4 linked regions of the Nothobranchius furzeri genome follow. The protein of the gene in region 2 binds, or shares a complex with, the protein of the main gene of each other region. Links are inferred from orthologs where the notes say so. Each region holds a gene or a part of one and is shown on either strand. Other genes may lie near its edges. The genes, in order: c17h9orf78, ttf2, akap17a and ppp1r8b.

Region 1 (7,627 bases), on a different chromosome or scaffold from region 2:
CATTTACATTAAATTTAGCTCAAAGCAGAATACTTACAGTTCTTTGTTTACATGTAAACCACTTAAATTAGCTACTTTTTATTTTTAAGATAAACATGGCAGCCAACAGTTCAGCTTTGGGTTTTTTATTGCTTAACGTCTCATTTTCAAGCAGCTGCTCTAGTTATTCCATCTCATTAGCTAAGTGCATCACTTTTAAACTTTAGTATGGTTCTTGTTTTAAAAAAACAAACCGAGATATATTTTTACACACTTAATAATTGAACAGCCAGCTCTAAAATACTGTAGACTTAGAGTGAAGCTAAAGCTGCTGACTTGTTTGAAAAACCAAACAGGAAATCACACAAATCTGGAGCTTCAACATTTTGGTCAACAAATGTTTTCAATAATAATTAGCAACGGCTCACATTTTCAGATGCCATTGTGTGGAGGAAACAGATGCAACTTTTTAATATCTTCGGTTCATCTTCTTAAACTTCTCGTAGTGGTAGTCATCCGTGGCCTTCTCGTTGTTTGGACGTTTGCGTGGGTTCGGTGGCGACGGAGCTACGGACAGACAAAAGAAACGAGTACAGGTTTTGGTTTCTGGAAAAAAGGAACCAAAAAGTGTTTTTGGTTTGTATCTGTGACTGTGTGGTCGTGTCTCGTACCCTCTGGGCCTGGCTTCTCTGTGTCGCCCACTCGCAGCGGTCTTGCTTTGGGCTCTTCTCTGTGTCTGTTGTGCCTTTGTGGTGCATTTGCATCCTCATGGTAGACTAAAAGAAAACAAAAGCATGATTAACAAACTTTTCTCCTCTAGCTGGAACGGATGCAGACAGCCTGAACTCACAGCGGTTATGTTGGACATAATTAACAGCAATATTCGTGGGAACAAACGACGTCCCGAGGTCTTTCTTCTTGTTCCTTTGCTCTGCCAGAAGTTTGGCTTTTGCCTCTTCTGTCTGGATAATGTTTTTAATCTTTGCACTGAGAATGAAACGACAGGGATTAATTTGAGTAAAATAAAAAGAGCTGAATTATTAAAGAATCTTCTGAATTTACTCAATGCCAAGGTCAACCTCCGGGATCCCACTCAGCATCTGATTGGACAACATCTCCTCTGTCTTCTTGGCAGAGTTCACTCGGATGTTCTCAGGAAGTTCGTACAGGTGGTCCTCTGCATTTTTCACCTTAATTTTCTGTTCCTCAGCCTCCACCAGGCCTTTCTTCTTTTTTAACTCTGTCTCAATATATTTCATCCTGTAAAGAAAAACACAATGGGAAATGTCCCACACGAACAACTGGATGGCAGCTACGTTAAGATTTTGAATACTAACTTGTAGATACTTAAATATTTAGTAACAAAGTTCATGTAATTCAAGAATTGAGATTGCTTTTCCAACTTTCTTTAGTAGAATAAAAAGCCTTTTCTTAAAATGCTGAATGAAGCCAGCCAGTAACATGCTAACAAAAGTTCCAACACCATTTCATCTCAGACAAAAGCAGTCTTTGTAGTTTGACTGATTTTACAGTCAACATTAACAGCTGGTTAATTCAGGGGTTGGTGCATAAATTGTTTTGTTGAGCAAAATTTGATTTCTGACAAATACTGACACTATTTTAGTTGTTTAAAGAGATGAAAACCCAGGTAAACACCAGTGTTATTTCTTGTCCAGGGCAGCCATTGTTGGACCAAACTTGTTTTTAATTTGTTTTCTTTGTGGAAATTCAACTTTATTATGTATGATGGAATATTTTTTGCCAGACGGAGGAAATCAACTGAACACCTTCCTTTTAGGGCTGGGCGATATGGCCTAGATGGGGCTGTCACATGTGTTAGGTTGAGTCACATTTTGGCTCAGGGTGGTACAGCTTCTTAAAGGGACATGAATGTTGACGACCTACACACACCTCTTAATTTTTTTATTATTGAATTTCTTGACATGAGAAAAATTATCTCAAAAGTCAGAAATTTCCGTTAGAGAGGAAAAAAACAGAGCACAATTTAAATAGAGGTTGGACAATGTTGAGTCTGAAGAGGAAATGATTATAATACAGTTTAAAGAAAAGCTCACATGTCTGCATCTTCATCCCTTCTGTTGGTCTCGGCGGAGAATGAAGTGCCCAGGCTGAGGTCGGTTTCATCTTCTGTCCTGTTAATGAATCATCCTGGATGAGTCAGTCATATCCGATTAACTGGATTTGGTTTAATTGTACAAAGCATTCAGGCAGGTATCTATGTTGCACCTGAGGGTGGAAAACTTGACTCACATGTCTCTATTCCTGTCTTTCACTTTCTTCATGTCTACAACTCCTCCCGTCTTCAGTTTGAAAGGATCATTCTGTCAGAAGTGATCAATAAAAAAGTAAACGTTCAACATGTTGCTATTCAACACACACACACATTTTTTTTTCCAAAGAAAACTTACATCAATTTCGACTTCTGGAGGCAGTTTCTCTCCCACCAATAAAGCTGTCACACTAGACAAAAAGTAAAAGGTGTAAGTTAATTCACATCCAAGCAGTTAAGTATTGACATTAAGCACAACTAATTGCTTCTGTGTGAAACGTGCTACATAATAAAGATGTCTTCCATTCTACATTCATATTAACATGTTACCTGACTCCGCTCTGTCGTTTCCTCAAACTCTGAAGTTCTTTAGCCTCTTCTACTTTTGATCTAAGAAAAAAAAATACAAAAGCACAAACATATTTAGGTAGGCAGCTTATTAAAATACAACTAACAACAATGGCGTTCTGTTACTTTAATTTTGGGTTAGCGGCTAGTTTGCTAACACAACATATATCTTAACAACTCGTTGTTCGAGTATTTTACCTGACTTCTTCTGTTGTTTCATCCTCCTCTTCATCATCCGACGAATCTTGTCTTCTTCTAAAATGCCTACCACAAGGCATATTTAGATAGTTTAACGTAAATATTTGAAGAAGCAGCGCCTTACTGCGCGTAAGCTTGACGCTGATAATTTCGGGGGGAAACTTTAACAGACGTACAAAAATATTCGTCACTTCCGGAAAAGTATAATCTACTTCCGTTCTTCTTGAAGGATCACAACCATAACAATCATGGCGGCTTATAAACACGTTAGCGGGTTGTTGGGGATTTCTGCTAGACTTTCACGACCGTAAGTGGATATTTTGCAGGATTTTACCTTCTATTGTGTTTAATTTTTTTTCTTTTACTTTTTGCAACATGTGAGTCATTTCTATGCGACTGTGTTTAAGCTTGTTGGTTTAGTGTGGAATGACGCAGACTAAACATTAGGTCTGGAAACGAGGAATGTTTCATTACGATGTTTTTTCCCATCAAAAATGCCCTTAAAGTAAAATTAACACTAAACAAACCTGCATAAATGTAATAAATTTTTATCTTGCATCCATCTTTTTGATCATTTTTATTTAGTAGGGGAAAAAATACAAATCACCAGAACAAATGTGCAGAACGCGTTTTTAAAGCGTGCTGAAACAACTCTGTCATCGCGCCATTGCCTTTTTATTAATGTTTTGCTTTCCTTAGTTATAGCATTTGTATTTGATTTGGTGTTCCTGTTCAGTGTAGGAGCTTGTTCGCACATCTTCTAAACAGGAGTTTACCCGTCTTATTATTGCCACATTTTAGTGACGGTAAAGAAATCGTCCCTACACACAACAGCATAATATTTTTTATAATAAAGAATGTTTTTTTTATATTACTGTTTATCTGTTCATTATTTTCAGTCTTGTTGGCAGTGGATGTCAGAGCAATGGATTCCACTGGCCCTCGCAAGCTACTGGAGTTTCAAACAGATGGCCACAAAACCCCTTCTGGACTGTTCCTGGTTTGTTTATTTGCTGCAACCTCTAGTGTGACTTTTTATTAAATAAGAGTGATTGTCTTTTATTGTCACGTTTTCCACAGTGATGTCAGATGCTTAGGTGTTGTGAGAAAATCGGGCATTCTGCACATGCAGAAAATGACCACAATTCTCTTGTAGCCCTTTTTAAAAATTTGCATTACATTTTTTATGTTACAGGAAGGTCCATGTTTGTGCAGACACAGGATACTCCAAATCCAAACAGTCTAAAGTTTTTGCCTGGGCGGACAGTTCTCGAAGAGGGAACCATGAATTTTGCAGGCCCTCGTGATGCTTACTGCTCACCTTTAGCCAGGTATTTCCTAATACAAGATTACTAATCTCATATTAACATATCAAGTTGTTTCCTTACTCTGAGCAAACTCTGTACCAGGGGGTACCTTGTTGTATGTTTGCCAATATATGCATATTGTATCCACTTAACTGAGAGAGGCTTGTCTAAATGGTGGAAGCAACATTTTTTACTGTCATCTTAAAAATGTAATAGTTTATATATATATACAGTTTATAAATAGGAAAAGGTAGTATTTAGCTTTTAGTACAAAGCAAAGGTTAACAGTATGAAAATAAAGTGCAACTATTATATATTCTTTGGTGCAAGACATATGAAACATCTTCTCTAAAAACATGAAATAAAAATATTTAGATCCCAAAATAAATACAAAATGAATAAACATACAATGTAAATAAGAGATAAACTATGTACACTGTAAACATGAGACCTGGCTATTTTTCTTGTTGCTGTTGATGCAGCAGAGGACAAAGGTTGTAGACTCGGGTCAGCTTTTATTTATTTTATTTTATTTTTTCACGATTAAAGACAGTGCATACTTCGGCTCAAATAGATGCATTGTGTGTTAATAAGCAGGGCATGCATTGCATAGGGCCACCAGGGGCCCGCAGAGGGCTGCTAACTTTGAACCAAGCCAAAACCACAACGTCTAGCACCAAAAATATACCAATACCTACTAAGTATTTTCGGACTGAAGAGGCACCAAGTTTTGAAACCAAGCTCTAATTAAGAGTCAGGTATTAGTTTTTCGGTACTTTGTTTTCTTATTTCTTTGAAATGGTGGATTTTTCCAAACTAACCCCAAATAATTGTTGGTACCACTTTACAATAAGGCACCCCTTATAAATGATTGGTAAATGTTAATAAATATGTTGAAATTAATTCATCTGTAACTCTTTATAAGTGTTTATCGTCATTGGGGGCAAGAAAGAGACAAAAATTGCTAAATGGTGAGCCAAATATAATCACTTGTATGTTTTGTCTACAGTTGCCATTTTAAACATTTCAAACTAAGTTGCTGCCTTGTTAGCTAAATGGGCATTTGTAAACATACTTTTAGCAAATATTATTATATTTTATAACTGTATTATGAAATATCCACAAATGTCAAAGGGAGCCCCAGTTTAAAGTGTAAAGTCTGTCACCATTGATTTGTAAGATAACAGCAGGACCGAGTCTCACTATTTATATATTTTGCATTCCTAAACATATGAACAAGCCATTTAAAATTAACTCAATCTATATGATACTACTTTAAGTCCCTCTTTTGGCATTTGTATATTTGTAATAAGCATAATAAGTAGTCTTTTAGGGGGAACAGAAATGTAAAGTGGTATCAACAGTAGGGATGTGTAGTGGTGAAATTCTGGCTATATGATACGTATCACAATACAGGGGAGACGATACGATATATTGCCATATTGAAATTTTCTTACATCTCTAATCAACAGATGTTTTTTTTATATATGTAATGACTAGGATGGGACATAAGAAAGGGGGAGAAGAAGCCAAGAGAAATTTCTAATGGTGTCTAAATGACTTTTTTAGAAGGTCCGCCCAGAGTTTTATCAACTTATTTCTCCATAAAACTTCTATGCTTCACTCTTTGTATGACATTCAGTTTAGTTTGTTGTACCAAAACAATTCAAATAAACATTAATGCTCCAAAGTGACATGGTTTGGGGAATGTGTTTAACCCAAGACATGCAGAATCACACATTCACAGACCTTATGGTAAAGAAAAAAAAGAATCTTATTTTTAAACGGGAACTGAGGGTGCACTGGAAAAGCCCAGTGGAGATCGAGAACGGGAGTGCAGCATCTGAGGAGGGGAGAGCAGATACAGGTGAGTCCAGGATGGTAAGTCTAAACTTGATGGGTGCAGAGAATAGACTTACTGGGAGAAGGGGAGCGTAGGAATGAGGGAGGGTAGGTTGAGTGCCGGGGTAAATCCAAGTGGGGTGTCCAGGAGAGGGAGTGAAAGGAGTGCGGGCTGGCCTGGAGGAATGGAGAACGGTGAGAGCTGCGTCCGGAAATCCTATGGGGCACAGGTGAGTAATCCTGAGGAGTCGCAGAAAACCAGAGACGTAATCCAGAGAAGTTACAGAAGTCCAAAAACATTCCAAAACCTGGTAACGGGTAAGCACAGGGAAAAGATCCAAAGGTTCACAAAAATTCCTAGAAACACTAGAGCACAAAATCCAAGAGTCGCAAGTGGGCAGGAAACTACCAAGCTGTAGTAATCATCCGGCGTCGAGGAGTGTTCTTCACCCTCCTTTTGTAGCCAGACCCGCTGATTTCAAATCAGCTGCAGCTGGAGCCTCCCTCTCCTGAAACACATAACTCAAAGATGGGAAATCTGAGAGGAGTACTCACCCCGGCACATGACAGTACCCCCCCCCCCCCCCCCCCCCCCCAAAAAAAACGGTCTCCTCCTGGCATCCTAGCTGACGCGGCCTCGTAGTCCCGGATCAGGGACGGATCCTCAATGAAGGAGTGGGGGACCCAGGAACGCTCCTCCGGACCGTACCCCTCCCAGTCGACCAGGTACTGGGTATCCCGGCCACGGGGTTGAAAATCCAGAATCCTGCGAACTGTATAAACCAAACCCCCCTTTTTGAACCGCACAGGCGGCGGAGGAGCTGGCGGAGGGCAGAGGGGGCTCGAAACCACAGGCTTAACTAAGGACTCGTGAAATACAGGGTGAACCTTAAGGGAGCGTGGGAGCTCCAACCGAATTGTGGAGGGAGTAGGGACGTCCAGTATCTTGAACGGACCTAGGAACCTGGGAGACAGCTTACAGGAGGTTGCCTTTAGCGGGATGTCCTTGGATGAGAACCAGACCTCCTGACCAGGGGCGTAATCCGGAGCCAGGCGCTGCCGGCGATCCGCCATCCGTTTGTTTTTATCGGCTGTTCTGTCAAGAGCCTCCCGGGTGGAGGCCCAAGCACGTTTGGCCCCCCGGAGGAACTGCGGAACCGTGGAGGGAGCCGAGGGCTGCTGGGGAAACAGGGCTGGTTGATACCCTAAGGAGGCTTCGAAGGGAGACTGACCTGTTGAAGTTGAGACGTGGCAGTTATGGGCATATTCGACCCAGGCGAAGTGGGAACTCCAGGAGGATGGGTGAGCGGAGCAGACGCAGCACAGCATCGCCCCGAGCTCCTGGTTCATGCGCTCACATTGTCCATTAGTCTGCGCGTGGTAACCAGTCGTGAGGGCGACTGGCTCCCAGAGCCTCGGCGAACTCCTTCCATACTCTAGAGATGAACTGGGGTCCCCGAACGGAGAGAATCTCCTCAGGGATACCGTGCAGCCGGAACACATACTTAATGAGCAGTTTTGCTGTAACTGTGGAAGAAGGGAGAGATTTTAATGGTATGAGGTGGCAGGCTTTAGAAAACACCACTAGTAGTGGTGTAATAACCACTTCAAGTGTAAACTGGCATTGGGGATTAGGTCGGTGGAGCACAGGGGCAGTTGTAAA
Region 2 (7,674 bases):
TGCTGAACACTAACTAGAAATTCACGAAAATTTTATAGAAATAAAAGAAATTTGTTTATTGGGTCTTTGGTAATTTAAGACCTTTGGAAACTGTATTTAAGGATTATTTGTCATTTTAAAGGATTTTTAAGGCCTTAAATTTGGAAAAGCTAATTTAAGACTTTTTAAGGACCCGTGGATACCCTGCTTCATGCGCTGATGATTTTAGAAAACACAAAATAAACATCTCAGTGGTTACAAAATGTAACTCAAAAAGAAACAAAAGCTCATTCTTAATGTTTAAAACAACATCTGAGATTTTGCTGCAGGACATTGAGAAATCTTGGATAAAGATCACGGAAACAGACGTAAAAAAAGATAATAAAGATTACCCAGAATTCCTCCACAGGGATTCTGCTTTTCCCTCCAGAGCAGCCAAGCCAATGCTCTTCTCTGATGAGCCATAAGTGTCACCTAGACAACCAACAACACAAAGGCAATGACAAAGTCTGATTGTGACTGAGCAGACACCAGAGTAGAGGCTGAAGGAGAAGGAAACCTTGATGCCACTGGGGTCAGGCACCTCAGCCTCAGCCTCAGGACAAGACTCCAAGGACTTGTGGAGATGATCGATGGCCTCACAGGTAGCATTCTTCACTGCCAGCAGACGATCATGGGTCATCTTGCCACCATAAAAGGCGTGCATCTGTGCATCTACACAAAACAGAACAAAATGTTAGTTTGTGTAAACATTAAGGAGGTGAAGGAAGAAAATACACACCAGTAAAGAGGTTTAACAGAGACTTGTCCTACCTCCAAACATCTGGGCATATCCCTGACTCAGGTGGAGGCCTGAGGCTTGGTGCTGAACCGGGTCTGAGACCGGGGGAGAGGAGAGCAGGATGGTACCACCCTGCTGGCAGGATGGACTGATGCTGGTGGTCCTAGTAGCAGACTGGCTGATGCTGGACTCTTAAAAGCGATTTACACAAGAGAGCAGCCGTGAGCAAAACCAGGTTTTTAGTCTTTTATCAGCTCCCTTCACTCAGAACTGATCCTTTAAATGAGATTGTTTCATGACCATCCGTTGTTCTGATTAACTGTCTCCATTTAATCCATTTGCATACGTTAAATCTCACCAGGCTGAGAAGCAGCAGCTAGGCTCAGAGACTCCAGAGCATCCTCTAACTCTTTCACCTGGGTCCTCAACCTCTCTCCTTTATCTGGCAGAGCTTCCACATTCACCACGGACAGAGTTGCCTAATACAGTAGACAGACACGCAATTACAACACACTCAGGTAATCATCACGCAAAGCTTCTTTGTTTCTCCGGTAAAACGAAGGTGTTCCTTGTTTGTCCGATGAGATCTTATGGTTCTGCTGCAGAAAACAGGAATGCAGAGATCGTGTAAGCATGAGAGAAACCCACCCTTGCGTCAGCAGGTGGTGTTATAGGCCAAACACATCACTAGCTATGATGCTACAGTTAATCTGATCAAAAGCAGAGGATGTCAGAATCTACAAGTGGAGGAAAGGAGTAGATTTTCTTAAACAACCTTTTTCTGTTTGAGCTGTGTGCTCAGCAGGCTGTGCATCCCGCTGGTGCTGTCCACCTTAGCAGCTGACTGGAACCCAGGGAAGCAGGTTAGGGTCTTCTGAACAGCAGAGAGGGGGGGCGTTTTCTGAGCCGGGGGTTTCACTGACACCAGCACGACATCATCATCATCATCCTCATCACTAGGGAGGGCTTCTGACTCTCTGGAAGCCTGCTGGCTGCCGTAGGGGGCAGATTTGGTTGCGCTGTCTTGAACCGAGGGTTCACCTTGACTCGCTGGTTTTTGTGACACGTTTTCAAAACCAGGAGAGGTTTGACTCTTGATGTGATGTACCACGAGGCTTGGTGCAGAAGTTTTTTTTTCTGCTCCTTCCTGCTCAGCAGAATGTTCCTTAGCCTCCTCTTGGGTCTTTGCAGTCATTACATTATCAGTGCCAGCTCTGTCCTTGCTGCTCTCCTCACTTGAAATCTTCTTCTTGATCTTCATCCCAGGTGGAAGAAGTTTCCTTTGATATACATCAGGCATGTTAGACTTTTTTTCCTCTTCTTTTTCTACTTTTGCACCTACAGCTTCCACATTTTCCTTCTGGCAACTTTCTCTTCTGTCGGCGTTAGGGCACACTTCACTGTTTTTCTTCTCCTTCTCTTTCCCTTTTTGACCATTGGTCTGCATTTTTCTCCACTCTGAGTCTTTCTCCATCTTGCTAGGGGCCTTGAAAGGGTTTCGGACAGAGGGAAGGGAGGAGGACTGCTGCAGCTGTGCATCAGATAGAGGAGCTCTCTTTTCTTTTTCCACCTGCAAACATTCAAAAACAACATGCATTAAATTATGTGTGAATTCAATATTAAAGAAGCATCTTAAAAAAAACATTTAAACTGTTTAATCACATGCAGTCCATGAAAAACAGTGTGGCGTGTGTGTGTGTGTCAGAGTGCAGCTGCAGGGGAGAAAGAGAGTAGTGCTTCAGAAGACGCACCAGGCGAGGAGAATTACACGAGCTGTGATGTGTTAGTAATCAGTTCCCTTTCCTTCATCTGCAGCAAGGGTCCGGGAACCTATGGATCAATGTCTTGAAAGCAGTAGGCTACATCTGGCACCCAACACTGGGTTTCAGCAGCTGGCCTGATGACATCAAAAGGTCAAGGCTGCTGTAACTCCCCTGACCTGGCGCATCTCCTGACGCCCAGCTTCCCTTCCTCTCCCCTGCAGCTGCACTCGGCACACGCACCACCACAAGCATTAATGCAGGTACATTTTTCATATAACCTACTGCAATCAGCCTTTAAGTTGCACTTAGAAAGGTTGAACCATCATATGAATTTACATCATCTACCCATGGGTTTGGAGGACTTTTAAACCATAAAATGAGTTTTGATTGGCATATTTGTCTTTTTAATCTCAGGGTGTTGATGCTGCTAGAATTGTAAACTCCCTTCTGCAAAATAAAGTATTTATGTCTGAGTGCAGGAAGTGAATTGAGCTAAAAAAAAAAAAGAAAAGATAGCCATTTAGGAGAGTGAGAGGCAAAACTGATGTGACTGGACTCAATAGATAGATCTGACCAAAGGCATGTAAAGTCCAAAACATTCTTGGTAAAATCAGTCAAATCTTACTGCAGTCCACGGCACGTTTCCACACCATTTCTGCCCGTCTCTTTTCCCAACAGTACACCTGAAGTAGAGTCTGAAACAGGGGAGAGTCAGCAGGCCAGAAGTGTTGATAACATGCTGCTTGTTAGGTTTAATTTCATAAAACATCTTTTTGCACACCCACCTGTGGCTCTGCTGCTGCTCACTGTAGCTGAGAGCCTGAAGTTCCACCACCGACTCCTCATGATGCAGGCAGCGTGACGGTGAGATACTAGAGAAGACAGCTTTATTATTATTTAATACTTCAAACAGGATGAGAATTGATGAATCCGTTGGTTTGTCCATTCATTTTATGTCATTTAATTTACATGGCCGCTAAAAGGTTATGTGTAGAATAGCTGGGATAACTATTATTTAGCTGAAGTGCAGTGGCCCCATGTCAGCTTCAGATCAACGCCCTCATGACTTATACCTGGCCTGTCGAGTGAACTCGCAGCCCTGCTTTGCAACGCAGACGTAAAAGCTCTTGTCTTTACTCGGTCCGTCTTTTACGCCCGTTTTTAACATACACACGCTGCCTGTAGAGAACAAAGACAATATTAGGAAAACACCAGTCTCAGAAAACGGGTCATAAAGTTTCGATAAAAACACAAAGAATTCATCACATTTTCGAAAAAATAGGCCAAAGTGTTTATTTTATAGCAATAAATAATGTTGAATGTTGTAATCACGACTTACCATGCGTATTACATACGACTTTTTCCATTCTCTCCAACAGCTCTAAATGAATGCAGTTGCCGTTTTCTTTTTGCCTGAACGTCTCATTGATGGTATTTTTTGTATTGACCAATCGCAATGGTCTAAATGCATTTCTGGTTTTTGAAATGCCAAAATAAAAGTTAACATCATACGTATAAATTGTATTTGGTAACATTTCCCATGAAATTACTATTGTATTTGTATATACAATTAATTGTAAAATTAGACCAACCGAAAAGACGAGAAAACTCCAAATTGACGGTACATCACATACCTAATTTTCTAATGGATATTAATGTGAAATGTTAGCGCCGATAAACCGGATTTAGCCCTAAATAGAAAAGATAAACGGAAAAGATGTAATGAAAACTAGTTTTACCGCTGTTGTTTTTACGTTTTGTGAAATTATTATAACGCGTATTACTTCAAGTCGGATATATGTTTAATTTTTAAATGAGCATTTTGAAAGATAAAACAAAACTGCATTACCCACAATGCATTATTGGTCCTTTTGCTCTCGCGGGCTTTGTTTTGATATGGCGGCAGGCTTCGAAAGTTCTGTTGGCTATCTTGATGTTTTATTTCTCTTCAAAGCTGTAAGAAAACTTTTCCAGAGTGTTTCAGGTAACTTCGATGCATTTTGAAATGTTGAATGACTTAGTGTATTTCATTTTTCTTCTCTTTTGTCGTGTTAATAACCGCTGAAAACGTTGTTTCTCGTTTTGCCCTACGAGTCTCCAAGCCTTTTAACTGTTTTGACGTTCCCACAAATAAATTACTTATTTCAGATCAGGCGTCCTGCTAAACTGTGCGGTAACTGTCCTGCTAGATCATTATTGGTCATTTTGTGTGCTGTGATAATATTAATGCCACAAAACTCGTTTGTAATTTAACGACACGTCTGAATGTGATTGAGTCATTGTATTTTATTTGGCTCTTGGCATCAGAAAGGGTGTGTTGTCACCATAATCTGTTTTCGAATCCTGGATTAGCAAACCCTTCCTGAAGCGACTCGGTCATCATGTCATCTCCAACCGAGCCGCGGTGCTCTCAGGCGGATTTCTTGGCCCGGTGGATACCAAGCAGCAGCAGAGCCGGGGTGATCCTGAAGCCTTCCGTGGGTCTGGCTGGACCCTTACAACCCATCTCTCCTGCATCACCCACGCCGCTGCATCCCGACAACTCCTTCTCCTCTGACTTCGCCCCTCTGCCAGCCTCTGCAGACAGCAGCTGCCTTGATGTGTGTGGATGTGTAGGATCAGCTGGGAATGACAGGCCGGTGAATGGACTGACAAACAAAGTGCAAGACTTGCCTCTTATGATGAAGCTAGACCAAGTAAGGAGTTCATTTTGTTGTTAGGCTCTAAGTTTTATTTAATTTGCATTTAGATCTTAAGATATAGTTTGTATCCAGTGGAATAGAAAATGCTGCAAATAAGAACAGAATAAAAGTGACATTTCTGTAACATGATGTCAAACAGGCCACTTGTATTCAAACGTGGCAGATCTGGTCAGTGAGAGTGTTCCTATGTTTGTCTAGCCCTTATAAAGTTCAAAGCGTAACAGTAGTTAAATTACACTAGAACAGTCTTCTGGTCAAAGGGTTAAAACTTTCCCATCACAGGAACTGCTGTGACTATTCATAGTGTTGTGAGGTTTAATTGCTGAGGTGTTAATCTGAGTTGGATTAGAGGCAGCGTGAGGTCACAGGTAAACATGCTGCCTGAGAATGCTGGAGTAGTGTCATGTTGTGTGTAGGGCTGCGTGATATTGGAAAAACCTGCGATGTGCGATAACGGTGATTAATGTTGCGATTACGATACGGCTTCAAATAAATACTTAACTCAGAACAGAAAATCAAAAAGAAAGAATTAAAAAAAATCAGAAGATGACTAAAAAAATATTTAAAAAATGGGAAACGCTAAATTGTGAGCAAAAGATGTGAGGAAAGGGGGAAAAAATGACCAAGAAAAGTCAGTCAGTGGATTCCGGGAAAAGCAGAATCTTCAGAAAGAGCAGAGGAAAGCTAACTCAGGTGTTTGCTAGCCATCCAAAATAAGTGCTGTCTGCCTAGGGGGCGGGCATCTAACTGATCAGAACCCACCCGATTGGCCAAATGGGTGAAGGGCTCTATTTGATTTGTAAAAACTTCATGCTTTTGTTTGACAAAATGCATCACGGAAGCAAATATTTGAGTTACCCACTCACTGTGTTTTTTTTCTGTTCTTTGCAATGTGCGTATTGCGCATGCTGATATCGCGATGGTGATGCATTTGCGATGTATTGTGCAGCCCTAGTTGTGTGTAAATGATCTGTAATGTTGTGTGTTTGTATGCAGTTGAGGAAATGGCAGCAGCACATGCAGGAGCAGCTGAAGGCCCACCAGCTGGAGGAGCTGCTGTCCCTGCAGGAGGAGCATCACAGGATTGTTAATGGATCACAGAGAACCAGCGTACTCGGACAGGAGAATCAGCTTTCAGCACCAATACGACAGGAGCTGCTTTTGAAGTGTCAGGGCTGTGAAAATGATGAGGGTGAGAAACAATGCTTTTACTGGCCTCTCTAGTCAGTTCACCTGCAAGTAGGATGTGTGGTGTGGTAAATCTTGTTGGGCAACAAAGAAGTTAAAGTTTCATATTATTTTTGAGTTTACTGTAGCTTTGCTAAATACGCTGTTTAAGGCAACATCTTCTCATTAGTCACAGAACAGGTGCAGCTAGTGTTTATCCTCATAATTGGTTTATAAATTCCCTCTGTTGATAAGTTCTTACTCTTTCCTTTGTGGACCACCACAGAAGAAGAGGAGATGCCTGTTGACGCCGGGCAGGAGCATGATGATGCATCAACCCAACATAAAGGTGTGGTGCAGAGGGAAGGTGACGGCAAACACCTTGGTGAAGTCGGTAATGACAGGTGAGTGTGTAGCGGTTTACAGGGATCAGAAAGTCTGGTCTGAGTCAACCAACTCAGACACGCTGTCTGCCGTGGCTCCTCCTCAGACCCATACAGCCGGGCCTCGGCGGTCAGAAGCAGACATTTGAGGAGCTGTTGGAGGAGCAGCTGAGACTGGAGGAGCAGAGGCTGAAGTTCGTTCAGCAGCAGCAGGTAAGACCGTGTATTTGCAACGGCAAAATGATGAACGGTTGAAGGCTGGACACATTAGAGCCTCACTCTGCTGACACGGTATTGGGCTACATTCTGAGGCGTGCTGGACTCACAGCGAATGTTTATGTTAACAGAAGCAAGAGGCTGTCCAGGCTCCTCCCAAGAGGCCCTTTTTGAAGCGAGGCCAGGGCCTTTCTAGGTTCACCAACAAACACAAAGCAGGGAAGAAAGACTACAACCTGCAACCCCATGGTAGAGTGATCTCCAGCTGCAACTCTGCTCCTGATGTTATTGTGAAAGGGAGTTCCACTCGTGTCCCACGGCTTCCTGTCCAGCGTAAAATAGCTGTACTCAACAAAGAAAACCGAGTGAGAGGTCTCTGTTCGCCACCTCAGGACACCAGAGCAGAGAGGAAAAAAGTTTTGGGTTGTCATCAAAGACGAAACACAGAACCAGAGGCCATAAAAACCAAGAATCAACCGGGCCATGTTGAGGAGCACAGTGGGAGGAAAGTGATTCAGGTTCTGAGGACTTGCAGCCCAAACATGCAGCAGAACCCTGTAACCAAAAAGGTGCTGGGAGGACAAACAATGTCTGACAGTGATACTGATAATAAGAAGAGTTCTGGTTCAAAAGTGGAATCAGCAGAAGTAAGAAGCGACTCGGAGAAGGGCGTCCGAGTTCCC
Region 3 (7,658 bases), about 16 Mb from region 2:
TCGGGCCTCTCTCCAGGCAGAGTCTCGTTCATGTCTTTTGCATCTCGAAAAAAAGAGTCCCAGTCATGGCGCGTGGGGAAATCCATTTTGTTTTCTACTGCACGTACCTAGGGGGAGAAAAGCATCAGGTATAAAAGAAAAAATTAAAACTAAAAAGGACCCACACAGCAGTGAGTGTCAGCTTTACCTTCAGGACATCAGTAAATCCACTGAGTTTGATGGTTTTTCCATCCAGACGACTCAGCAGACTCTTGACCACCGTCTTGTTTTCCACTTCACCCTCAAAGCGGATGAAGTCCAAAGTGCTCTTGGAGATACGCAGAGCTGAAAACTGCTCTGGAGCCACCATGGCCTTTACCCTCTCCATCACCTCCCAGTTGGAGATGCTCTTGCCTGGCAGCTTGAGCTGAGGCAAAGCTACACTGACGGTCATTTTGGCAATGGGCTTCAGGTACAGGTTGTACTCAGCAGACAGACACACTGCCTCTGTGGTGTCGTGGACGATGGTGGTCATTCCTCCTAAAGTACGCAGATGCTGGGAAACAAAATATTAATAAAACAATAAAAAAGTTTTCTGGGAAATTCTCAAACGGTCAGGATTAAATATGACTAATAATCATTAAAATATATTTTTGTTGTTTTTCTCTTTTGCAAAATTGAAACTGATGGGAGTTTAAAGAGCAAGTCACCCCCTACCAGAGTCTTACTCCACTCCCAGTTCATATTTGAAAAATGCAAGAAATGCTGTTGGCTGACAGACCGAGAGGGCGGAGCCTAGGGTTGGGCGATTTGTACAATTTTTGCCACTGCCAATAGTCAGTCCAATAAATGACGATGGGCGATCTATTTGTGCATGTGACTCTGAGCAACGTCATGACTGATTACAATAGAAGTACAAACACTTGGGTTTTTTTTTGCAAATGTTTGCTGAAGGAGAAAGTTTGATTTTTCTTTTTATTTAATTTTGTATTTGTAGTTTGGTAGAGTGACGTATAAACAGCTCGTATTAAACACAGTTAAAATGTTAAAAAGAAGCCTCGTCTTTGCTTCTCTGCGGTGCCACTATTGGGGTATTTTATTTAAGCAAAAGGTTTTTTTTTTCCCTGAACAAAGGCTACTGGGTTTCTTTCTTTTATGACTGAGAAATGAAATTAATTGCTGCTGCAGTTGGACGGCCTCTTAGTAGAGAGCATTGCAGCCAGAGGTCACATGATCCAGTTATCCCCGTCACTTTCATTTTTGAAATAACAATCAGTCACAACATCACGTGGGATTTGAGAACAGGAAGGGGGAAGTGACTATTGTTTATATGTGATCAAACTTGCCGTCATGTTTTGTGAGACTAATTTATTAAATATGGGTAAGCACTAGGGTTGTCACGGTGTGAAATTTAACCTCACGGTTATTGTGACCAAAATTACCACGGTTTTCGGTATTATCGCGGTATTTTTTTAAACGTGCTACATTTTCACACAATTAAATAAACCCTGTATGTCAGGAAATATTGTCCTCAGTTTGTGTCTAAATTTTGCCTAAATGTGTTATTTTGTAATTATGTTGTTTATTTGTTTACATTTTTTCCCTTTAGTCTTTAAAATACCAATATTCGACCATAACTTCTTGTTTTATGTCTGTTTGATGTCATCATTTAAAAATATTAGATCAGATGATACTCAGTACTCAAGCAGCCTTCTAATCAGATACTTTTTTACCCTTACTTGAGTAATAAACCCTATATCAGGAAAATATTGTCCTCGGTTTGTGTCCTTCCAGTGAGCTTTGCAGATGTGGGAAAATGTCATCAGGCAGTAATCATTGTTAAATTCATAATTATTCTCGGAGAGAGACCAACTCTTATCTGCCCCTGGGAGCCCCGTAATGCATAGCGTCATTTCAACATGGGGGTGTCCGTGACACGGTTTATATGCAGGTAGCGGCGCTGCGGCTGCTTTATATAGCGACTCGTTGCATTCTCCCTCGACCCAAATCCTCGGACCACGCATTTTAGCTAAAACGCTAATGTTAGCTTGCCTTGCGTTGACTGTAGAGTTGTGGGTGATGGTCACGCAGATGTGTCATGAGATTTGAAGCGTTGCTGCCTTTCACAGATACTTTTTCTGCATGTACTGCAAACAGGATAGCCGTCTTCTATCAGCTGTCTCTCGGCATTCTTCAAATATCCAAAAGATGCCCGTACTTCCCACTTTGTCTTCTTTGAGGGATAAAAAATGTCCTCCTGAGTGCTGCCGTCTCCTCCCTTGGCCATTATTTCAGCTTTAGCTTCAAGAAAGTTTTGGTTGTAAACAATAAAGCGCGCCAGGCAACTTCAGCAGATGATACGGTGACTGATAAGGGTCACCGCGCCTACACCGCAGCCACGGTAAACCCACAGAGATAATATAGATTTTTTAAAAACAAGACGGTTATTATTACTGTCAACTTTTTTACCGAGGTTTACCGCTACACCGGTTACCATGACAACCCTAGTAAGTACGCTATTTATTAGAATACGTTAGGATCAACGCGGCGCTCTTCGCGTAGCCACTGTCATTAACTATAATGGCTTCTATTTAAAACTACGGAGCGGGCACGATGCAGCTCATCCATCTCCGGTGTGCCTGTGCCTTTAGGCCAAAGTTTTAAAATCAGGAAACATCTCTCCAAATTAAATAACCATAAGTCTTCCAGACTCTCTGAAAGAAAAGTTTCCACTTTCCACTCAACACTGTGTTCTTTTGCACGATGTTTATTGCATCACAGACACTCCCAGCTCCTATTCAGCGCGCCATGTAAGCAGCAAGATGCGGAATAAGTGAGAAATAATGCTCTGATGCACTGATGGAGATCTTTTTTTTCATCCCGCTGCTATGTTGTCTGTGCGCAACGTGTAAAATATCTGTCATTAACAAATGTATGCACAGCAAAACACATTGATAAATAAATAAGACAAATCGCCTCTAGTAATAAAAATCGCAATGGTTCAGCCCATTGCCGACGGTTGAAAAATTCACCCCATCGTCCAACCCCAGTGGAGCCACTAACACAAATACAGGCTCACAGTGGCACTGTGACATCATATGGTACCAGTTGACAACATCAGTACCTCTTAGCCAATAGGGATGGCAGGTTTAAATTGAAATGCAGTGCAGTTTTTACCTGATGAGGGCGCAACACAGACTGTTAAAGGCAGAAAATTAAAATTTTAACTGAGATGCACTAATGTGATTAATTACTGACTACACGTGTCTACAGCACGGTTAGACACTCATTTGGTTTATCAGCAAAAAATATTGTTATGGGGGTGACTTGCTCTTTAACAAGCTTGATTTGTTATTACAAACTTATATTTTGTTTACTTGTTCTACATTCATTTTGAAAATAAATTTAGTTTAATTCATTAACATCTAAATGGTCACACACACGGGGCGGGCCTCATGCCGTATCTAAATAATAAAGAGAATTAGAAAAAGTCCACAACTGCATAACTACATTGGTCTTTCATAGGCTTAAAATATCTTTTGAAATTTAACTGAAAATAAACATATTTATTCACAGTTCAACTGAAACAAATTGTCTTGCCAAACCGTACCTAATAAATAAATACCTTCAACATCGGGCACTAACAACACAATAGAAGAAGAAACGTATTTAAAACTATCAACACATATTTAGCCGGTGAAAAAGTTGTATTAAACATCAAGGTTACTTGCAAAACAAACTCTGAATGCAATGCTAATAACTGAGGCTAACAAGCTCGAGACTGTAAAATGTTCCATCAACAAGTAGTTAGCAAAAGGCATTTAAAGCATTAGGTGCTCGTTAATAGCTTGGTGGACAAGCTAATTTCATATCTAATATGAAGCTAGTTAGCTTTAGCTCAAACAAGCAAAACACAAAAACCGCTTCCAGCGCTGTGCTGACGCGAATTATTAAATATTTATCAACAACTTACCCAACATTAATTAGAATCCTGATAAAAACAATGATAAAAATATCGTGAGGTTTCCAGCAGAGCAAATCACTGCGGAGCAAAAACTATCCGTATAAGCACAAAACTGTACACCAAGTCGCTACCACAGACATGTTTGGTTGCTACTGCATGCTAGTTCCGCATCCACCGAACTATGACCTCTTAAAAAGTCAACGTGTGTGTGACAACGACGCAGTCGCGGAGTTATGCAACAGCGACACCATCTGGTCTGAAAGAGAAACCGCAGTTCAGTCAGAGTTAGTCGAGTTTATAACAAACGTATTGAAGAATAAGGAGGACCGAAAGAAACATAAATAAATACGTTTCCAGGTCAAGAGCTATGGAAGCCCATTCCGGCCACTCAGATAAAATAAAATAAAATTATTATCTCATAATTATGACTTAGCTATCTCATAATAATGAGATAGTATCTCATAATAATGAGATAGCTAAGTCATAATTATGAGATACTAAGTCGTAATAATGAGATACTGTCTCATAATAATGAGATAGCTAAGTCATAATTATGAGATACTAAGTCATAATTATGAGATACTAAGTCATAATAATGAGATAGTATCTCATTATTATGAGATAGCTAAGTCATAATTATGAGATAATAATTTTTTTTTATTTTATCTGAGTGGCGGGAATGGGCTTCCATAGTTGTGATCCCAAACCGAAGGTTAAAAGATTTAGAAATGGATTTATGTAAAAGTTTTTTCAAGTAAAAAAAAATTAAACCTGTATTAGAAACCTTATGGTTACATTAAAATCATGAACTATTTATGCTTTCAAAAATAAATTAGATACTTTTATGTGCGGTGCTTTTTTTAAAGAATGTATAATGAATAAACTGTTCATGTATTTCAGATTGTACTTAATTTAATGATACATTTAATAAATTATTTAATGATTTCTGTAACTGTTGAACTTTTGGCCCTCTAAAGAGGAAGATGCCAATGGAAGATGCCCCTGCACTGTGGTGCAAAATACATATTTTTTACCAGTTCAATCTGATGTCATTTTATTTAGAATTAGTCATATTTTATAGTAATCATTTAAAGTGGTCTTCACCTATAGTTTGTGACATATTTAGCTACATTGTTTTCATCCCATTACAATTTTGTGCTGAAAATAGTGCAAAAATATTTTTGCAATGCACAATAAAGACAACACATTTGTCATGCTGTTTTGTCCAAATACATGTGAAAATTGAGCTAATGGAAGACAAATAACCTATTTTAGCCAAATAAGCCAATAGAGGGACCACACTGCGGTGTGGCTGATAGCTCTAAATCTTTAAATTAAGTTTGCGTGCATGTTTATGTTTTTGTTTGTTCTTTGGTTTTCTCCCACAGCCCAATAATTTACATGTTTGGTTAGTTAGCTACACTAAACCGGTCCTACATGTGAATCTATACTGTACATCTGTGCAGCTTTGTGATGGACCGACGACCTCTGAATAGAAGGCTGGAATTTATCAGGAATATTTCACAGAGCATGACATAAACATTTTCTTTAAATTAGTGTTAAGGTGCATTTTGAAGCTTTATGAATCACCCAGCCAATAAAAAAGACGTGGTTATTTGTCACAAAAGCTCAATGCCTATTTAGCACTGCTGGTCACCATGACGACTATTCCATATAAAAGTGGGAGAAGTGGATGGACTGGACATGGATTACTCTAAAAAGACCCCGGGCGACAAAGTTGGCACAGTTTCCCCTGAAAAGATGGCAGAGGAATTTACATAACAGGCAGTGTGTGTGTATGTAGGTCAGTGGCTGCAGTCAGACAGCCTCTCTGTTCTGTCCCGATCAGCAGTCAGCGAGGCGGCTCACGGCATCCCTGGAAGAAAAAAAAAAGCCTCACACTTGTTTGCATCTAATATCAATTATGTGGTTATAAAATAGCACGATTAAAAGGTTCACACACAACCCCCAACTTCACTAGAGGAGCCCACGTTTCTGACTAAACAATCCGAAGGTGCCGCTGAAAAACTCTTTAAATATTTTGCATTGACCAGCTTGAAACAGGAAGCCGTGGATTTGCAGTGAATGCTGTTCCAAAGCTGGCGTCCGGAGTCATCAGATCATCAATTTTCAGCCCCGCCGCACAGGGACAACCACAGAGAGCCAGCAAACAGGTCACCTCAATAGAGGTCTGTAAAATAAATGAAGTTTACATCGATGCAAACGTTTATTGCTTTAACGTTTAATTAAATGAATCAAGAAAGACAAAAGTGACTCGCATGATTCAGCACCGCAGAATAACTTCACAGAATTTCACGTCACAAACATTTACAGTAGAAAATAACTCGTGCTGATGAGAAAGGACATATATTAAAACATTTCTACAGGAATGTGGAAACCATAGAATTACATCTGAGTAGAAATGCTAGAGAATATAAAAGGGACATTCAAGAAATCAAAAAGTTAAATTTTGGAGGTTCACATGTTTGGGAGAACAGTCAGGAAGTCTTCATGATGCTGCTGAGCAAATACAGGAGAACAACTCCTGCTAGTTGCAAGCACTAAAAAAATAAACCATAACCATTGTGTATGTGCAAATTTAGGTAAATGTGTATTAATAAATAACACACATTAAAAGTTTCTGGAATGTCTGTTTACTCCAAAAGGAACAATAATCTGTGATCAGCTGCTTCTGTCTGAAATAATTTATCATTTTTAAATGTTTAATGAAAAGTTTCTGCAGGAAACAACAAACTTTGTGTCATGTTTTGAGAGTTCAGCTTAATTTGAAAGAAAACATGATTAAATATATTAAAGTGAATGTTCAAAACCATTGTAGTTAGTAAAAAAAATTTTTTTAAAAATGTGCTCTGTGTGCGTTCGCTTTGCTAAAGCAGCCGCAAATGTCAAAATTTTTTTGTTTTAAACAAAAAAAATTTAAATAATTTCTTAATTCTGTGCTCCTGACATTTTTTGTGGAAACTATAAAATAAAAATCTGTCTATATATATATATATATATATATATATATATATATATATATATATATATATATATATATAATCGGGAAAAGAAACCCCTATTTAGTTCTAACCCCCAAAGACAACCTTCAAAGTTTAAAGTGACAAGTGCACATGAGCTGAGCATACAAATGAATGCATGAATGAATGAATCCGTGTAGAATAATAAAATCTGCTACTTAGAAAATCAGGACATTTGTTCACATTGTAGAAATGCAACAAAAACATCTGCACCATACCACTATTGAGAACTTGGGAGTGTAGAAACAGAACTCTATAAATAATTTACTTTGTAAAAAATAAAAATAAAAAAAAGGTTTTGGCGACTAGTGTTGAACGAATAAAAAGTGCTGTCAGTTTTGTTGATGCTATGCTAACGTGAAAACCCACTCTAATGCCGTTCGTGTGAAAAATCTTCCAATTCCTGAAGTAGTGTTTAGCTGCTTCTAGAAAATACATTAAAAAAGGTTGGAAAATGTTTTTTTTAGACCGTTGGAAATAAATTGCTACGTAAACTGTGCCCTCCCTTTCTTTACTGCATCAGGAACAAAAGCCTTTCTAGTTTCTCCAGTAAACGTCAACAGAAAAACTCCAGCTGTTCTGTTTTCCAAATGAAAATCTGACCTGTCAGATTATAAATCTACATATGCTACTTCTATACTGCTGGTTGCACTTCATCCAAACAGGTTGGACAG
Region 4 (7,771 bases), on a different chromosome or scaffold from region 2:
ATTACTTTTTCACCTTTTTTAACACTTTTGTCGACATTTTGAAGGAATGAGTCCAAAAACATATAAAAACAAAATCATACCATTACATAACAGTTATCATATCCACTGTTGTTCGCCCAGACTAGTAAAAGTCTACGTGCCCCCACTCGCCTGCAGCTCCTTAAATCACAACTGTTGTAAATTTTGGAGAACTCCATTACAAATAAATGAGATTCTCTTGTTTATGGGATGAATTTTATGCAAAACTGCGTAAATATGGGAAACACAACAAAATGATGATAAAAATAAAAGATCCATCAGAAGTGAAGAACTCCACCTCTGCCAGGTCACAGTCCCTGATGTATCTGCTGGAAACCTGAGAGTCGGCAGCACTACAGAAAAACTGCTTAGATGAGTAGCGAGGGCGTGGGTTTCTTTCCTGGCCACGCCTCTTTGGCGTACTTCTTTTTGCGCGGCTCGTTGAGGGTCTCTGGCAGGTAGGGAGCTGTTACAGGTGTGGGGTTAAGGGTGATGAGGGGCTGAGGAGCATCTGGGTCCAAGTCTACCTCTGGCGCTGGATTAGGGAAGGGCAGCGGAAGCCCTCCTTGCATAGCAACACCTCCCGGAGCTCCCGTTGGCTTGTTCTCATGACTGGTAGGAGGCAAGTCGCCATAAAGTCCACCACCTAAGCTGTAGCCGTGGATACGCTTTGAAGCCAGATCGTCCAGACCCAGAGTGTTTTGGCCGTCAGATCTTCGCTTCTGCAAAACGGACGGAGGAATAAAAACTAAAACTTGGAAACAACTACTTCCATTATTAATGGAGAATTACGTTCACCTGTGGGGTGAAACATTTACCTTCATGGGGATGACGGCTGTCTGAATCATATTCCTGAAGCGGCCGACCGATGGGTCTATGTCCTCTGAATAAGTCAACAAATAAGGACAGTTTACATCAGATGAACTACTTTTTTTTTACTGCACTGAAGACATCACCAATGTAAAATAAAATAAATAAAAAACTGTTACATTACTCTGATTCACATTTAAGGGCACAAATTTGAGTTTTTTGTACATTTGTCTCTAAATCAACCTAAAAAAGGTAGTTTAGATCAACACTTCCAACTCATCTCCATCAAAATCTAGTGATGGTTTGACCAAGAAATGAAAACAGATAAAGCTTTAAACAAAAGATGTTTGTGTTTCTACGTACCTGGGTTGATGATAGAGTCCTCTTCACTGAAAGTAACTCTGGAGTTCCTCCGTTTCCTCTTGGGTCTCTGGATTTCCAGGTTGCCTTCCTCGATGGTCAGGAGGGAGATGCGTTTGTTGTGAGCAGTGTTGAACTCCGTTAGATTCTGGCAGAAGTCACAAAAGAGTGTCGTTAAACCACACTGACACCAGGATATTACCATGCTCTATCTGATGCAGCACCTCCCCAGGATAGATATAAAAAGGTGCATGAAGTAACAGTGACATCACGTGGTCAAATTTGCATATGGCAGTCCATGTATCAAAATAAAACGTGTCCGCTCTTAACTGTTACCAGCTATGGCTCAGTGCCAGAAGATTCTTAGTCTGGTACTGCTGGGACATCAGCTTCTATTAGTCATGTTACAATGTCAAATAAAACAGTTTAACATGTTACTAAAGTAACTGGTGTGTCTTAAAACACAGAAGAGTTATCTGTGACGTTACAAATAGAAAACAAAAATGGTGTCCGTGTCCATATTTGATGCACCAAATAGTAAAAGAACGAGTTATTGCTGCAAGAAAAGAGAAAATGCAGTAAAACTCTAGTATTTAAGGCTTTTTGCTTCCTTTCAACTTGAAGCTTAATAAACAAAGTCAAAATGCTGAAAAATCAACAGTAAAAAGCAAACAAACAAAAAAAAAAAGAAAATTGGAGATGTCGGGAAAAAATGTGGTGCAGTTAACTCATTCACTGCCAATGACGTCGTCATTTGCATTTTTTTACTGTTTGAGCATCGGCACGAGCCCCCGCCCTGAGAGAACAAACATCTCAGCCCTGAAGCTGATCTTCATCCGCATACGTCACATATCACGTGATCAGGAAGCAGAACATCCATGTGTTAGGAGATCGTTTTGGGCCGTTCCTGTAAAAAAAAGTGAGGCGCGAACCGGAAAAGCGTCTGCCGATCACAATTCGACAACGGATTATGAAAGAACGGATAATGCTCGAAACACACGGCTTCTTCCTGATGTAAGAGGTGAGTCTCCTCTTTGTTTTTGGTTGTTTTGGCATTGACATCATGCTAGCGCGCAACGTTCTGTGACTCTTAAAAAAAATCATAAAAATGGTGAGAAACGCTGGCAGCGAAGGCCGTTACCCCCAAATTCCACTACCTCCATTCCGCTCTGGTCCGGTCCGCCCCGCCTTCCGCAGCCGCTCGCTTCCAAACTCAATTTTTACTGGTACCCGCTCTACAACGGCTCCGCTCCGGTGCGGAGACCTGAGGTGGGCAAACAAGCATGCACGGGATTTTCGAGATCTTGCGATACAGTCCGAGCAATAAACGCGGAAGTTAGATCCAAACACCCGTTGTGTGGGAGAAGCATCGGCATGAACTGTTTAATCTGCCCATCATTTGTGTTGAGAGATCAGCAGTGTTTGGATGAACAAAGTGTGACTACTTTGATAGTAGAAACTGTATTTATGGCTTACTTTTGTGCATTTAAACTTCAGCCGCCACTGATAGTTGTTAAAAGTTGTTAAACCTGTGCATATGAAACAAAAAACGCCTTTTTTTATCGATTTATTGTGAAAAACGGAAGTTGTGCTTGCTCCTTTTCCTGTTGGGCGGTTGTGATTTCTGTCCATTTACTGCGGAGGTGCTCCGGCGTCCGGCGAAAATAGGATCGATTCTATTTTTGCCGGACGCCGGAACAGAGGGCAGCGCACTGCGCCGCATTGCCGGAGCACGGCCGCAGTAGTGGAATTGCTCTGATTGACTACAACGGGACCGATTTTGCTCCGGCGTTCGTGTCGGAGCGGAGGTAGTGGAATTTGGGGGTAAGTGATCAGGAAACGGCTGGCAGTGAGTGAGTTAAAAAACCAAACACACTGAGATCATTTCACACTGTGGCTAATTTGCATACAAATAATTCCATTAAGATGCCACAAGCGCAAAACAGGATGTCAAAACAAGTCAAGAGTAACAAGCGGCGAGTCAGTGGAGCTGATCTGAATTCTAACAAACCTCCAACTCTGTCTCTTCCTCCGGAAGCCCGAGCAGTCCTTTTAGCTCCTCCTCATCTCCTGTCTTACTGTCGCCGGTGCCAGCGCTTCCTTGGGTTTGGGGTTTTTCTCTGATGGTGTAGGTACGTGTTGACGCCCCGAAGGATATTGTAGAGTCGATTGGAACCTGCTGAGGCTTGTGAGGCTCAAGGCGAATGTGTCCGAGGAAGGTACCATGTGCTTAAATTGTAAAAAAATAATAATAATTAGGATTAATACATTAAAAGAGCAGAGTGACTGAGAAATAATTAAAGTGTTTGTGAAATCTTACTGCTATTAAGATCTATAAGGAAGAGCCTTTTTAGGTGTTTATGGTAGACTAGAGCGGCGTGAACACGCGAGCACGACTGATGGTCGATGGTGAAGTCACACCAGTCGGGGTTCCTACCAAACAGGTAGAACTTCTTTTCATCTATGATCAGTTTCTACAAGGAGAAACGGATGGTGTGAATTAGTAATGGCGTACATTAATGCATTTGTGCCTCTGAGTTATAACTCAACAGTGTTGCTTTCCACTGAAGGGCTTAAATCTCAGGGCTGATGTTGTTCTCGCACCTTTTGAAGCCATGCAGTCATAGGTTAACCCCATTGTGCAACACGCACAGGGCGGAGCAGACTGTCAGGCTTGTATCTGGTGCTTTTAACATTTGTACAATAGTAACAATCACATGTGTGTTCTGCTATGTGGAAAACAGAATCATTAGATGTTTAAAATAATAAGGAATGACATTTTATTGTGGAATTTGCTTATGTTTAAGAGATTAAACAAATCTGGATTTTTAACTTAGAAATTAAATAGAACTGAGATAATTAAAGCTGATTTTAAAGAGTCCAAACTAAATAACAGTTTAAATTTCCAGTTACCTCAACCAGTTTGTCTCCTTTCATCACGTCTAAGTGCAGTCCTGTGGGCGGTTTTCCTCCCCTATAAGAAACAATTAGAGACTTATTTAAACACTGAACTGATCTCAGAAAATACAGCAGTGCATAAATATATTTACAGCATATTTAACCATTTTATAATCTAATTTTAATTCATTTATTCAAACATTTAGCTCTTTTCACTCGAACCGAATACTTCAAGAGCATATCTGTCAAAAAATGTCCTGCTGTCACCTCTATACGTTTCAACTAGGTGAGAAACTTTTAAAATCAAGCCTTTCATTCATTTTCAAGCAGAAAGCAAACCGTGATCCGCATTTAGGCTAGCCTTGTAGGAGGGGTTAGCCTGCTAGCTCGATTGGATGCTAACGCTAACGAACTTCTTTCCTCTATAAAAGTTACAATTGTTAACGTAACAACGTCGTTTTGCTCGTTTGCACATAATCAAGCGCTGCAGTTGGTATTTTAGTACTTCAACATGTGCATTTTCTCACCATGATGGGCAGTCAAAAGGTGGACCGTCTTTGCTTGTTTTAGCTGCCATCTTCCCTCTACATGTTAACGATGCATTTTGGGTAATTGTCGCTTAGGAATGCTGGGAAATGTAGTCCGGTAATAGACCACGCCATATTAAAAAAAAGTAAAAGTACAAAAAACAAGCTAATATTTCGCATTTATAGATGTGGTTGTGTGTGGAACTTATATATTGTTGAGTTTATGATTAAATTCGGGTTTTAGAGTTAGTATGAAGTAGTCTACTAAAAATAATAAAGAAAAAAGTTCAGGTAAGTCACATTTATAGTTCATAAAAAACACTAATTTTATCATCACAAATCTACTACTGTGTGTAAAGTTGCAATTTGTTATCAAAAGAGAACATTAACGCGCAACAGGGGCGGAAACAGCTACTCACCTAATAATGATTAAATAAAAACAAATTATATAATTTCAGTCCAATTCTGTTAATATTAAAACAATAGACCTTAAATGATAAGTTTTTCTTTATACTGGAAAGATAATGTACATCATAACAACATAGTTTTGTTTAATGTAAACTGATTCTGTTTATATGTTTCAGACAGATGGAGGTGACAAATTTTACTTTTACTTAAGCAGCTTCTCTTCAGCCCAACAAAAACACAAATCAAGCACACGCAAGGGTGCCCCCAAGGGTGGCCAGGGGTGGCCATGGCCACCCCTAGAAAACAGCTTTTTAGTGCATTTTGTGTGACACAGCCAGATGTTTTTATTTTAAAACTTTTAACCTTTATTTAACAAGACAAAGTATTTCTTACAACTGTGGCCAATCCAAAGGTAGTGCCTTTTGACAGAAGGATGGGCTAAATTGCAAAAGTTACCTTTTCCACAAAAACAAAACAAAAACAATATTTTACAAGAACATCTAGATTGAGATGACTTACGGTTTTCTGTTTGAATAATTTAAGTAGCCCAAGACATTTGAGCAGATTCATTCAGATGATAATTTTAAAAGCCACTATTTTATTATTTGATAAAACCAGGCCATTTGTTTAACCAACAAGGATTTATCTCAAAGTCCATTTAGAAATGTTCATTAAAAAAAATTAACATTAAAAATTTGTTTGGTGTTTTTTAATGTTTCAAATAAGAAAAAAAAATGTCCTTTTTGTTTTAAGAGATATTAACATGTATTTGTCAAAAATGTGGCTTTTATAAAATTTAAAGTTCCTAAAGAAACCACTGGAGGTCTCTGAACTCCAAATTGCAAATTCTCAGTAAAGACCCAAAAAATAAAGTTTTGAAAAAGTTTGAAATGTTGGTTTGGAAACAGCGATACCACAAGCCTCCTACAGCATTTGTTACAAAGATTCAGCACCTAGAGTTTAACACAGAAAAGGGATGAATAAGTAGCCAGATTCGACTGACGCTTTGCTTATTTTCTCTTTCTGATTTGTAAACTGTGGGTTTGAGGGTCATAGGCTTCGGTCTTGTCATAGAAAAAGTAAAGCTGCCATACTTTTAGTTTCTCTTTAAAGCAGAAGGAAATGAGCCTGCAGTCTTTTTGTCCTTTTACAAATAAACTAATGCCATCAAAGTTCCCTTATAAATGATAAAACACAAAAAAGAACATGTTTGGGTAAGGTGCCTTTGATCATTCATTGGTTGAAAACATAGTTTGTCACAGGAAACATGTTAGACAAAACTGGTATGACTAAAATTAACCTATTTGATGTATCCAGGTGAGTCACATGAGAGTTTTTAGGTTATGTTCCTAGTTTGTGTTTTTCTTTCAGTTATTTGCAACAGAACAAGTCACATTCATCACACTTTATTTCCAATCATCCACTTCTTTCTAATCTGGCAATGACGTGTTTTTCATTTAGCTACTGGTACAAACCAAGAACCAATCTTAGCCTTGCAGTAACTTTTGTTTTAACAGTGAATTTTTTACATTTCAATTGGCTCCACAACAATAAGCTGCTGTCAACGATTTTTAAAATCACAAATCTTGACAGTAAAACAGGGCCTCCGTCATAACTCATAAACTTCCCCCCTCCCTTAAAAATGAAAAATGTTGTGCAAAAGCTCCTGTCACTTCCTCATATACTTTTGTGGTTTTGCTAGAAGCGCAACTCCTTTTTAGCTGCAGTCGTCATTTAACACTTGTCTTCAGTCTTATTTCGACTCGCCGAGGCAGCAACCATGGCAGGCATTGCTTTGCCGCTTCAAGATTTTATTGCATCGCTGGATCCCAGCAGTTTACCGAAAATTCTACAGATTTGCTCTGGAGTCTATTTCCAAGGTGGGTTTTATTTATTTATTTATTTATTTATTTATTTATTTATTTAGTTATGTATTTAGATCTGTTTTAAGATCATTATGATTTTATGACTTTATGATTAATTTTGTTTTGATTTCAATGAAGCCCCTTGTGATTCTTTGTCTGTGATGAGTGCTATATAAATAAGATTTACTTATTTATTAAGATAATAAAGGTACAAATTTCTGAGTATAGGAATGTAAAGATCAAACATTGTGTTTCCTAGCTAAATTAGTCACATTTATTATGATTAAAATTTTCATAATCATAAAAAACTTCATCATCGAGGCACATTTGGGAACTTTTATATGCCTGACGGGTTCGTTTCATGCATCAGGTTCGGTGTATGAAATATCTGGGAGTGAAGTTAGCTTCTCCACTGGGGATCTAATAAAAGTCATCGGTATTGAACTGCAGTCTGTCTCCTGTGAGGATGTTGCCAACAAGGAGACATTTGAACTGCCAGTCAGCCATGCAGGTTAGGAAGAAGTTCGTAATAGTACCATAGTTTGGTTGTTGTTGCAGCTCACTCACACATAATTGTTTTTTCAGGGCTGTTCAAGGTCGTCCCGGAGCAGATGCCATACAGTTCAGTTGAAGAGATGATGAGTCTGAGGCCTGTGGGCCAGGAGTCCTTCCTGCCTTTTACTTTCCACAGCCACACTAAAATGACACTTGACACCTTCACCCTGGGGGCCGGCAAGGCTTTGACTGTGATCGCCATCGAGAAACACGAGGGGAAAGAGGATCAGGTGCGGTGCCACGTTAAAGGAGAAGCAGAGGCCTCGGCTGAAGTCCGCATCCCTTTGTCGTCTCGGGGGCAGTTTTACGAGTGCGAGAGCGAAGAATGCT

What was found.
Region 1: ttf2 (region 2) and c17h9orf78 share a complex: the UniProt entries of both Homo sapiens proteins name them as parts of the spliceosome. The link is inferred for Nothobranchius furzeri from reciprocal best matches to the Homo sapiens genes TTF2 and C9orf78.
Region 3: ttf2 (region 2) and akap17a share a complex: the UniProt entries of both Homo sapiens proteins name them as parts of the spliceosome. The link is inferred for Nothobranchius furzeri from reciprocal best matches to the Homo sapiens genes TTF2 and AKAP17A.
Region 4: ttf2 (region 2) and ppp1r8b share a complex: the UniProt entries of both Homo sapiens proteins name them as parts of the spliceosome. The link is inferred for Nothobranchius furzeri from reciprocal best matches to the Homo sapiens genes TTF2 and PPP1R8.

The regions. Positions count from the first base shown.
Region 1 is NC_091757.1:40,165,656-40,173,282, forward strand, and holds c17h9orf78 (splicing factor C9orf78 homolog), read right to left. Parts: upstream 2,995-7,627; 5' UTR 2,896-2,994; coding exon 2,816-2,895; intron 2,660-2,815; coding exon 2,600-2,659; intron 2,461-2,599; coding exon 2,409-2,460; intron 2,322-2,408; coding exon 2,251-2,321; intron 2,133-2,250; coding exon 2,055-2,132; intron 1,240-2,054; coding exon 1,042-1,239; intron 967-1,041; coding exon 830-966; intron 756-829; coding exon 651-755; intron 547-650; coding exon 449-546; 3' UTR 110-448; downstream 1-109. Other genes in the region: NFU1 iron-sulfur cluster scaffold homolog, mitochondrial, read left to right, coding at 3,064-3,122, 3,715-3,815, 4,011-4,146. UniProt on the Homo sapiens protein: Plays a role in pre-mRNA splicing by promoting usage of the upstream 3'-splice site at alternative NAGNAG splice sites; these are sites featuring alternative acceptor motifs separated by only a few nucleotides. May also modulate exon inclusion events.
Region 2 is NC_091754.1:32,989,068-32,996,741, reverse strand, and holds the start of ttf2 (transcription termination factor 2), read right to left. Parts: upstream 4,145-7,674; 5' UTR 4,059-4,144; coding exon 3,863-4,058; intron 3,703-3,862; coding exon 3,597-3,702; intron 3,396-3,596; coding exon 3,309-3,395; intron 3,219-3,308; coding exon 3,149-3,218; intron 2,331-3,148; coding exon 1,536-2,330; intron 1,240-1,535; coding exon 1,119-1,239; intron 952-1,118; coding exon 793-951; intron 694-792; coding exon 539-693; intron 454-538; coding exon 372-453; intron 1-371. Other genes in the region: cpap (centromere protein J), read left to right, coding at 4,905-5,219, 6,222-6,417, 6,679-6,796, 6,883-6,988, 7,123-7,674. UniProt on the Homo sapiens protein: DsDNA-dependent ATPase which acts as a transcription termination factor by coupling ATP hydrolysis with removal of RNA polymerase II from the DNA template. May contribute to mitotic transcription repression. May also be involved in pre-mRNA splicing.
Region 3 is NC_091754.1:16,998,415-17,006,072, forward strand, and holds the start of akap17a (A-kinase anchor protein 17A), read right to left. Parts: upstream 4,134-7,658; 5' UTR 3,953-4,133; intron 536-3,952; 5' UTR 515-535; coding exon 188-514; intron 108-187; coding exon 1-107. Other genes in the region: sowahca (ankyrin repeat domain-containing protein SOWAHC), read right to left, coding at 7,638-7,658. UniProt on the Homo sapiens protein: Splice factor regulating alternative splice site selection for certain mRNA precursors. Mediates regulation of pre-mRNA splicing in a PKA-dependent manner.
Region 4 is NC_091745.1:71,998,610-72,006,380, reverse strand, and holds ppp1r8b (protein phosphatase 1, regulatory subunit 8b), read right to left. Parts: upstream 4,870-7,771; 5' UTR 4,664-4,869; coding exon 4,614-4,663; intron 4,163-4,613; coding exon 4,102-4,162; intron 3,878-4,101; exon of another isoform or gene 3,712-3,877; intron 3,663-3,711; coding exon 3,509-3,662; intron 3,418-3,508; coding exon 3,200-3,417; intron 1,337-3,199; coding exon 1,192-1,336; intron 902-1,191; coding exon 837-901; intron 741-836; coding exon 387-740; 3' UTR 208-386; downstream 1-207. Other genes in the region: protein THEMIS2, read left to right, coding at 6,802-6,901, 7,257-7,397, 7,472-7,771. UniProt on the Homo sapiens protein: Inhibitor subunit of the major nuclear protein phosphatase-1 (PP-1). It has RNA-binding activity but does not cleave RNA and may target PP-1 to RNA-associated substrates. May also be involved in pre-mRNA splicing.